Linked DNA regions of Drosophila melanogaster. The protein of the gene in region 2 purifies or fractionates together with the protein of the main gene of each other region. This does not show direct contact. Each region holds a gene or a part of one and is shown on either strand. Other genes may lie near its edges.

Evidence for each region.
Region 1: the proteins of ATP6AP2 (region 2) and fz2 purify together in Drosophila melanogaster (affinity purification with western blotting; one study listed by BioGRID). This does not show direct contact.

Annotation. Positions count from the first base shown.
Region 1 is NT_037436.4:19,233,141-19,237,071, forward strand, and holds the start of fz2 (frizzled 2), read right to left. Parts: upstream 2,234-3,931; 5' UTR 1,874-2,233; exon of another isoform or gene 1,665-1,873; intron 1-1,664. Other genes in the region: CG33647 (uncharacterized protein), read left to right, coding at 3,220-3,294, 3,354-3,671, 3,738-3,917. UniProt on the Drosophila melanogaster protein: Receptor for Wnt proteins.
Region 2 is NT_033777.3:9,258,322-9,262,252, reverse strand, and holds the start of ATP6AP2 (ATPase H+ transporting accessory protein 2), read right to left. Parts: upstream 1,616-3,931; 5' UTR 1,529-1,615; coding exon 1,486-1,528; intron 1,263-1,485; coding exon 910-1,262; intron 648-909; coding exon 81-647; 3' UTR 1-80. Other genes in the region: Ibf1 (insulator binding factor 1), read right to left, coding at 2,003-2,242, 2,297-2,485, 2,550-2,621, 2,912-2,999, 3,066-3,205; Ibf2 (insulator binding factor 2), read left to right, coding at 3,813-3,931. UniProt on the Drosophila melanogaster protein: Multifunctional protein which functions as a transmembrane receptor in the planar cell polarity (PCP) and is involved in the assembly of the proton-transporting vacuolar (V)-ATPase protein pump.

The DNA.
Region 1 (3,931 bases), on a different chromosome or scaffold from region 2:
TTTTATGAATGTGCTTTGCGAAGATATAAATGAGACACCAGTGGGTGTGTGGAATAGTTCAAAAGCCATTTGCATTAATGAAAAAGAAAAATATTTCAGTGAAATATTTAATACACTCAATCAGAAGGAAGTAGAGGGAAATTAAAATTAAGATTGGGTTTAATCATTACTTCAAAGAACTAAATAAATATTGCATAATTAGAAATAACAAGAAACAAAAATTAATTATTATTTAGGAAAATAATTAACCAAAATGACCAAATTTCCTATTTATTTAACCCAAACGCAAATATGAATAATATTCTTCGTTGGCCAGAGAATGTAAACATTTCTGCACTTATTGCTTCGACATTCCCTTAGCGTTTTGCATAATTTAACACACGGGTTAGGCTGTGACCCCTGCAAGAGCCACCCCCCGGATTTCCCACCCGCTGAGTCTGGAGCCCGGCCCCGCCCCCATTTCTTGCTAATACCATTCCGCCCCTTTCGACCAGAAGCGGTGCGTGTGCTTGCTGCTCCCATTGAAATGCCAGACTAACTCAATTAGAGTGCGCAGACAGAAGTTGAAGTTGAGTGTTACTTTGACTGCCGGCCAACATGCGAGTGCAAGAAAATATTTATAAATATTTCGAAACATCTGAAACTGCTCCTATTTAAAATGTAGGGAATTAAAGAATGCAATGATGTGGGGAAAAAACTTGAAGACGCGTCTCAATAAACAGACAGCCGGATAAAAGAGTAGGAAACTCGGCAAAAGTATCTAGATACTTTTTGCAGCTAGGTAGCTAGCTATGAGATACTCTCACAAAAACAGCAGCAAAAGCAACAGTGCTGTCTGGCTTGTGAACTCGACTCGTAAATGTACACAGAAAAAAATTGACCTGTCTTGGATCAATTCTTTATTGATTATTTACAACAATCTTATTGTTTTCAACATTATTCCACAAATGCAAAAAAAATCGTTCAAATTTAGACTTTAATTAAAAATAATATTGTCTTTGTTAATGAACTTGAATGAACTTTAATAAAGTGTAATAAGGTGTAATAAGGAAAAAGAAATAAATATTCGAACTTACATTTATAAAAAAAATGTGAAATTCCGAAAAACTTTAACAAAAATGGTCAAGAAATCAACAAGTTAAAAAGTGTATTTTTAGCGTTGTTGGAAATATAAGCTTATGTAAAGTTAAATATATTCTTTTATATTCTGGGCAAAAAAAGCAATATAAAGAGTATTTAGTCCTTTAAAGCTACGTCGAAATATCTACGTTTAACATTTGAATTTATAAAAAGTTTATGTTCTTAAACAAACAACAACTGAAACAAGATGTGTACACTCAAAATTTAAACTTATAAGTGGCTGAGTTTTCCTCCCTGTGTGCGAAAAACACAACAGAAAACAAAAATAAAATGCAAACAACGGAAAAGCGGAAAAAAAGAACTTGGCGTCGTCTGAGTTTAGCTCTCTGTGCTCTCTTTTCTTTTGCAGCTGTGTGAGTGTGTGGCTGTTGTTGTCTTTCCCATTTTCCCGTAGAAAATGTGAATGATTTTCCTTCACTTTCATCAACAGCTGCGCTCACACAAATGCAAGAAGTACTCATTTTCGAATTGCTTTTTGTTATTATTTTAGATACACAAATGAGTTAGCTTTTTCGTATCTTTACCGTTTGGCTGTGTTTTTGTTGTGCTGATTTTATATTTGTTGTGTTTTTGTATAAGTTTATTACTAATATATTTTTATTTGTTTGTATATTTTATTTGCAGATCTCTCGATTTCTCGGTTTTGTGTTCTTCGCCGGCTTGCTATTTTGCAAATGCCGCCGAAATTGCAATCAATTGCAGTTTTATATCTCCAGCTCACACAGATACTCACGCACACTCACACAAACACACACCAATGCGCGACGGCGACTGCGACGCCAACTGCGACTGCGGCGTCGACCGCGCTGCTCACGTCGTATGTCCGTTAATTAAACGCGCGATTTTTTGTTTGTTTCGGTTTTTACATATTATCTTTTCATGTGCTTCTCTCTTTTGTTTTTATTCCGCTTTGTTATTGTTATTAACTATTGTTATCAGCCCTCGGCGCTGCCAACGTCGACTGCGCTGCCTTTCGCGGCTGCTTTTTGGCTTTTTTTATTTCCCGTCTGCGGTGTAAGCGTCTGCGATTTTCACGTTTTTCCTTCTGCCGCGCTGTGTAGTTTTTCCGGTGATTTCCACTTGCCAACTGACTTTCTTCCGACTTTTCCAAACGGCCGGCCGTTGTTTTGCAAAATTCGCAGAGAGAGAGCGATAACGATTAAGAAATGCGGGGGAGGAAAAATAGAGAGATGGAATTACAAATGCGCCGGTCCAAAAAGCTCGCGAAACGATTTGGTAAACGGAACAGAGCTACGTGAAACGTAAGGCCTGCCCGGAATCACGTAACGTAATCACCAAACGAATCACCAAACGTTAATTTTTTGAAACAAGTTTCTGCAAAATAAATAAGTCATTATAAAATATATTAGAGCTATAAATTTATGCAATGTTATTAACGAAAATATTTTGTATGCTAGACTGGTCGAATGGACCAATAAAAAAGTAATTTCGCACCACTTATTCAAAATATGATGAAATCGTCCTGAATCTAACCAAGAAATTAGTCATAGAAATCAAAAATAAATTAAATATAAATGCGTAATAGTATGGATAGCCCATTTAAAGAAGAATTAATAGGTATCAAGATAATTACTTCAAGGGCTTTGATAGAAATTATATTCAGTAAAATCGCGTTCGCAGTAAAATAAAGAAAACGTATAAGTTCTAGCTAAATCATCACTCATCTTAAACCCGTTTTTCTTTTTTAAGAATACAAATTATTTCAATATGTTATTACTAGAAAACTATTATTAAGCTGATTCTAAATGCTTCATATTCGTGCAAATTTGTTTCAGATCTCCCACTCTAATCCGTATTAATTATTATAATATAATATTATAATATATTATAATATAATAATTTTATAGTATTATTTTATACTATTAGTACTTTGCGCATCTCCAACTTGAAAAGTCCAAATAATTTACCGATATTAATGTTCTATCAACAAAAATAAGCAATTACAAATTAGGTAATACACTAATTGAGCACATTAAAAACCCATTTATTTTAAAATATACACACCTACGTGCGTTTGAAATGCATTAGATTTTAGTCTTCAATTAGTTATCCACTAGTATGAACGTCAAAAAGCTTTTTATATTGGTTGACCTGATTCTGGGGACCCTAATCTTGAGCAGTGTTCGTGCAGAGGTCAGTAGTATAGAATCATATATGTAAGTCCTACTACATTAACCTATCTCAACGTATAGAAAGAAGTTTTTATGACGAAAATTGAGTGCCTCAATTATATGCCAGAATTGGTGAGAAACGTAAGCTGCTACTTAAATGAAACTTCCCACCCCACTGGTTCAATATACGCAGAGTTCATATTAACCCAAGATGTTGAGGACCTGAAGGGCATTTACATTTTGACATTTAAGAGAGGTTCATACGTGACGAATTTTACCTCTTCACATGTAGACTATTGTCAGATGCTATCAAGTGTGGAAAATCATTTTTTATTTAGAATGGTTACTACGCAGCTTCGCGAAACCGCCAATTTTCCTATACAATGTCCGTTGAAAATGGTAATTAACACTGGTAAGAAATTGTATAAAACTCTCTAATATCGTATTTTGGAAATTGTGTTTTAGAATAAACGGTATTACGCAAAGGGATTTACAGTTAACTCGAAATTTATACCCAGCTATATGCCAGAAACGAACTTCATTTCGGACGCCCATTTAAGCGTTAAGGATCGCAAAGTATTTCGGTTGCTTATTAAAGGTCGCTTTTCTAGAATACTTCGGCGAAATTATATTAAAACCGAATAGATCACTATATAAAT
Region 2 (3,931 bases):
GGGGACGAAATAACAAAGCGTAACGCAAGCTCCTCTCGCTCCTCCTGCTCCTCTCGCTTCTCAACTCCTCCTGCTCCTCCTTAGTTGTCCTTCTTGATGCGGGTAGAGGTCATGCGGTAAATGATGGAGTCCCTGCCGGGATCCATGGCAGCGATGGCGTAGCAGATAGCCAGCAGAGACAGTCCGAAGACGACCATGAACCACAGGATGATGTTGAAGATCACCGGGTAGTCGCTGCCGTAGTAGACGGCCAGGTTGTAGGGATTGGTGGTGGAAGCGGCAATGGTATCACGCTTGGCACGCGATGCTGCCACGTCCTTCTCCGTGGTCTGGACAAACAGAACCGAGTCGCTGGACTTCTGGGAGGCAGCAAGCAGGCGGCTGATAGCGGCCGACAGCAATTTGTTGGCCTCCTCCACGGCCACGGACTTCTCGCCATGAGCCTTGGCCACTCCATCGACGGAAACGCGCAGCATCAGGACATTCGAGGGCTTGGCCATCTCAGCCAGATGATCGGCGGCACTGTTGATGAATCCAACCTCCTGGAGGAACTGCTTGTCAGCGGTGTGCAGAGAGGGGTTCAGGTGCTTGGTGGGCTTGGCGGCTGGGGCCTCGAAATCACCAAAGCAGGACTTCCAGGCTTGAACCTATAAAAAATATGTGGTTAAATATACATTGGTCTCTACGTTATATGCGTAAGGGGGAAGGCACTATGATTCACTCTATAAATCATGTGATTAATTAATTTTTAAGGTTTAATAACTATCTATCATATTTGTGGGAAGTTATAGCGGATTGTAGAGAAGCTTCTTTAAACGAACTTTCAGATGAAGATCATGCTTTCTGCGGTTTGACAAATTAGCTAACTGACTAACGAAATGTGCTTTTCCCCTTTAAGACACCACTTACGCCATCGTCGAACTGCTCAAAGTTAATATCGCAGACGGGCTCGTTGGCTGCCTCCAGTTCGGCGGCCAGGGCGTTCAGAGAGGCGTCCGTTCCGGAGCCTGTCAGCTCGTAGGTCTTGACGTTGCCGGCGGTGGTCACGTGACCAATGCCCTGGACATGCACCAGAATGACGCCCTTGGCCAGGTTGAAGGGATCGTTGATGGTCAGTCCGTTCCAGTTGGTATCGCCGCTGACGGCGTTGCCCATGGAAGCGTAGAGTACATCACCCACGTAGTGGCTTTCCAGTGCATCGTTGCCCTTGAAACTGATTGCCTTGGGACGGTTCAGCACGGTGAATTCGCCAGAGGCATTGACTGCAAAATAGGAAGACGTAGCTCATAAGTTCTGTAGAATCTAACATATTCGTCTCCTTTGTCCAAGATTCTGCGCATGCATGTGGGGAGCCCTTTGGAGTCCCGAGTTCTGGGTGTCACCACCCCCAAAGAGGAATCGATGAGTACAGAATATCCACTTTGTGACCGCTTTCCACTTGCTGCGCATGCATTTTACTTGATTATAGATGGTAGATCTACTTACTGGCCGCTATAAACAGCGAGAAAATCACGAAAACTCTCAACATTTTCAGTTTTCCGCTGGACTTTTAATCATATGACGAACGACTGCAAAGAAAACCTTTTCTCTTCCCCGATATCACCCTGACTATCATGTGATGAACAGGGTTGCTTGGGGTCAGTTATCGAATGGGTATCAGTAGGGTTGTCGAAGAGTGCGAACTATCGATTGTACTAGTATTTCTAGTTTTATTTATTATGTATTTTTATTTATTCAATAATTTTGATGTATGTAATATTTATGTATGTAAGCATTAGATTACATCGATTTTAATAACACTTGTAAGCATTGCATTATTACATTATTATTTAATAAAAAGATTCGAGTAATCAGGCTTAAAATAATGTATTTTGTAATCACCTTTACAAAGTTAAATGTAATAAATCTATGTTGAATTCAAGACAGACATTTTCGTCATCTTAACAAAAATTAAGGGTTCACCATGCGGACATTTAAAAGTTATCTATAGTTAAAATACATTTTAATCGCGTAGGGCGTCGATTTCCAATCGAAGCTTCTGAATCTTAAGCAAAGTCAGTGTGCGCTCTACTTTTAGATTGTCCGTTTCCGTTTTAAGAAACTTGGTCTTACTCTGGAACTGACTGATCTCGGCTCGCGCCTTTTCCGCTCGCAATGCAGCTAAACCATTTCTTGGCCTGGCCTCGATGATCGTCGCCGATCCATTGGCTAAGTCATCCGGGTTTTGCTGCAATATGTAATGCTGTTCGATAATCGTTAAAATGTCTAAGATACTTATCAAATTGTGAATATTTACTTCTTTGCTTTCGTCCAGGTACTCAGAGTATTCGGGATTTTTAATTTCAACGTTGGAAATTTCAAATTCCAAATTTTGCTCGCCAGACTCTTCCGTTTTGGTCAGTTTCCTTTTGCGAATTTCTCGTTTCACTCTGGGTTGCTCCTTGGGCGCCTCAGCCTCGTCAGCATCGTCCAGAATTTGTTGTATCTGGAATGAAAAATAACCATAATGTAAGTATTTGATTTAGTTTACGCATTTTTCACCTACTCACCTTAACAATGATCTCCTTGCCTTCGTTGGCATTATCCAGGCCGCCATCATCGTCGCCCGAAATCTTCTGGATCTGCATAAAAAATATATTTTAGAGCATTAGCGATATATAAGTAACATTTAATTTACATATGAATGTTCATATGAGACGATATGGGTTAGTAATTTCAAAAGTCAAATCATTAAGCACTATATATTGTATTCGGACAAAGTTCGAACCGAATATTTGTCAAATTACTTGGGGTTGACATTATAGTGTGCAAAGTATCTTTGGGATTTATTTTGAAGTGCATTTGTCCACTGACGTCCTACACCAGACATATACATACATCCAATGTATCCAAATTGGAAGCATCGAATTACCTTTATCCTAGGAGCCTCGTCATGATCCTTCTCGTCGGCAGAAGTGTACACTACAGCGCTTCTACTTCGCCGGGCATCGCAGGTTTGCCTACAATTTAATGAGAATTACTTGACGCATGTAAACACAATGTTTGGTGTATGTTTGTATGGTTACCTGTGTAACGATAGCCGGGATAGCGCCGTATTTTGGAGTACTTTTTCGCAGAAGTGACAGGTGGCCGAGTATTTGCCATTCTCCAAATTGGCGGTAAATCCGTGGGTTCTGTAAAAATCCTCGGACTTCTTTCGGGGCATTTTAAAATACAACAATCGCAGTAAATTCCAATGTACTATACACGATGCAAATAAAAATGGCTTCACTACAGATGCATGTAAAATCCACGCTTGCATACGATAGACATGTATCGACATATCGATAAAACCATTTTGATATTGATCAGTTCGATGCGTTTCTTTTAGTCAAAACGATATTTAATAAAGATCAGAAATAATTTTATATGTATATAACGGGTGAAGTAGTAAACTTTTAAAAGGATTTGCTTCTTAATTTTACTTATATGTATTTGTAATATATGAACGCCCTTCAATATAGTCTATTTTTTAAAGGTTCCACGCATATATTTTCAGATACATTCATGGTACTATTTACTGCCCGATTAATTAATCGTTAAATATACAAAGCTAAATATTAAACTTATTCTTTTCAAAAATTTGTTATTTATGACCCAGACAAAGTCATTTTTTACAATTCAGTCATTTCACAGATGATTCAAAAGTAAAAATATAATTAATATTCAAATGCAAGCGACCATCGATAGAATTCGATGGCATGTTATCGATACATCGGTTGAATTTACAGCAGCAACACTGTCACGTAATTTAACACAAACCGTATGTAAAAATGTCGCAAGCAAAAAAGGCCAAGCGACCCTCGGGCCTTTCGAAGGATGAAACTTGGAAGAAACTGGGCTTTCTACCCGCGTTCAAGGGCGGCAAGGATGGGGAGCCGAAGAAGTACCG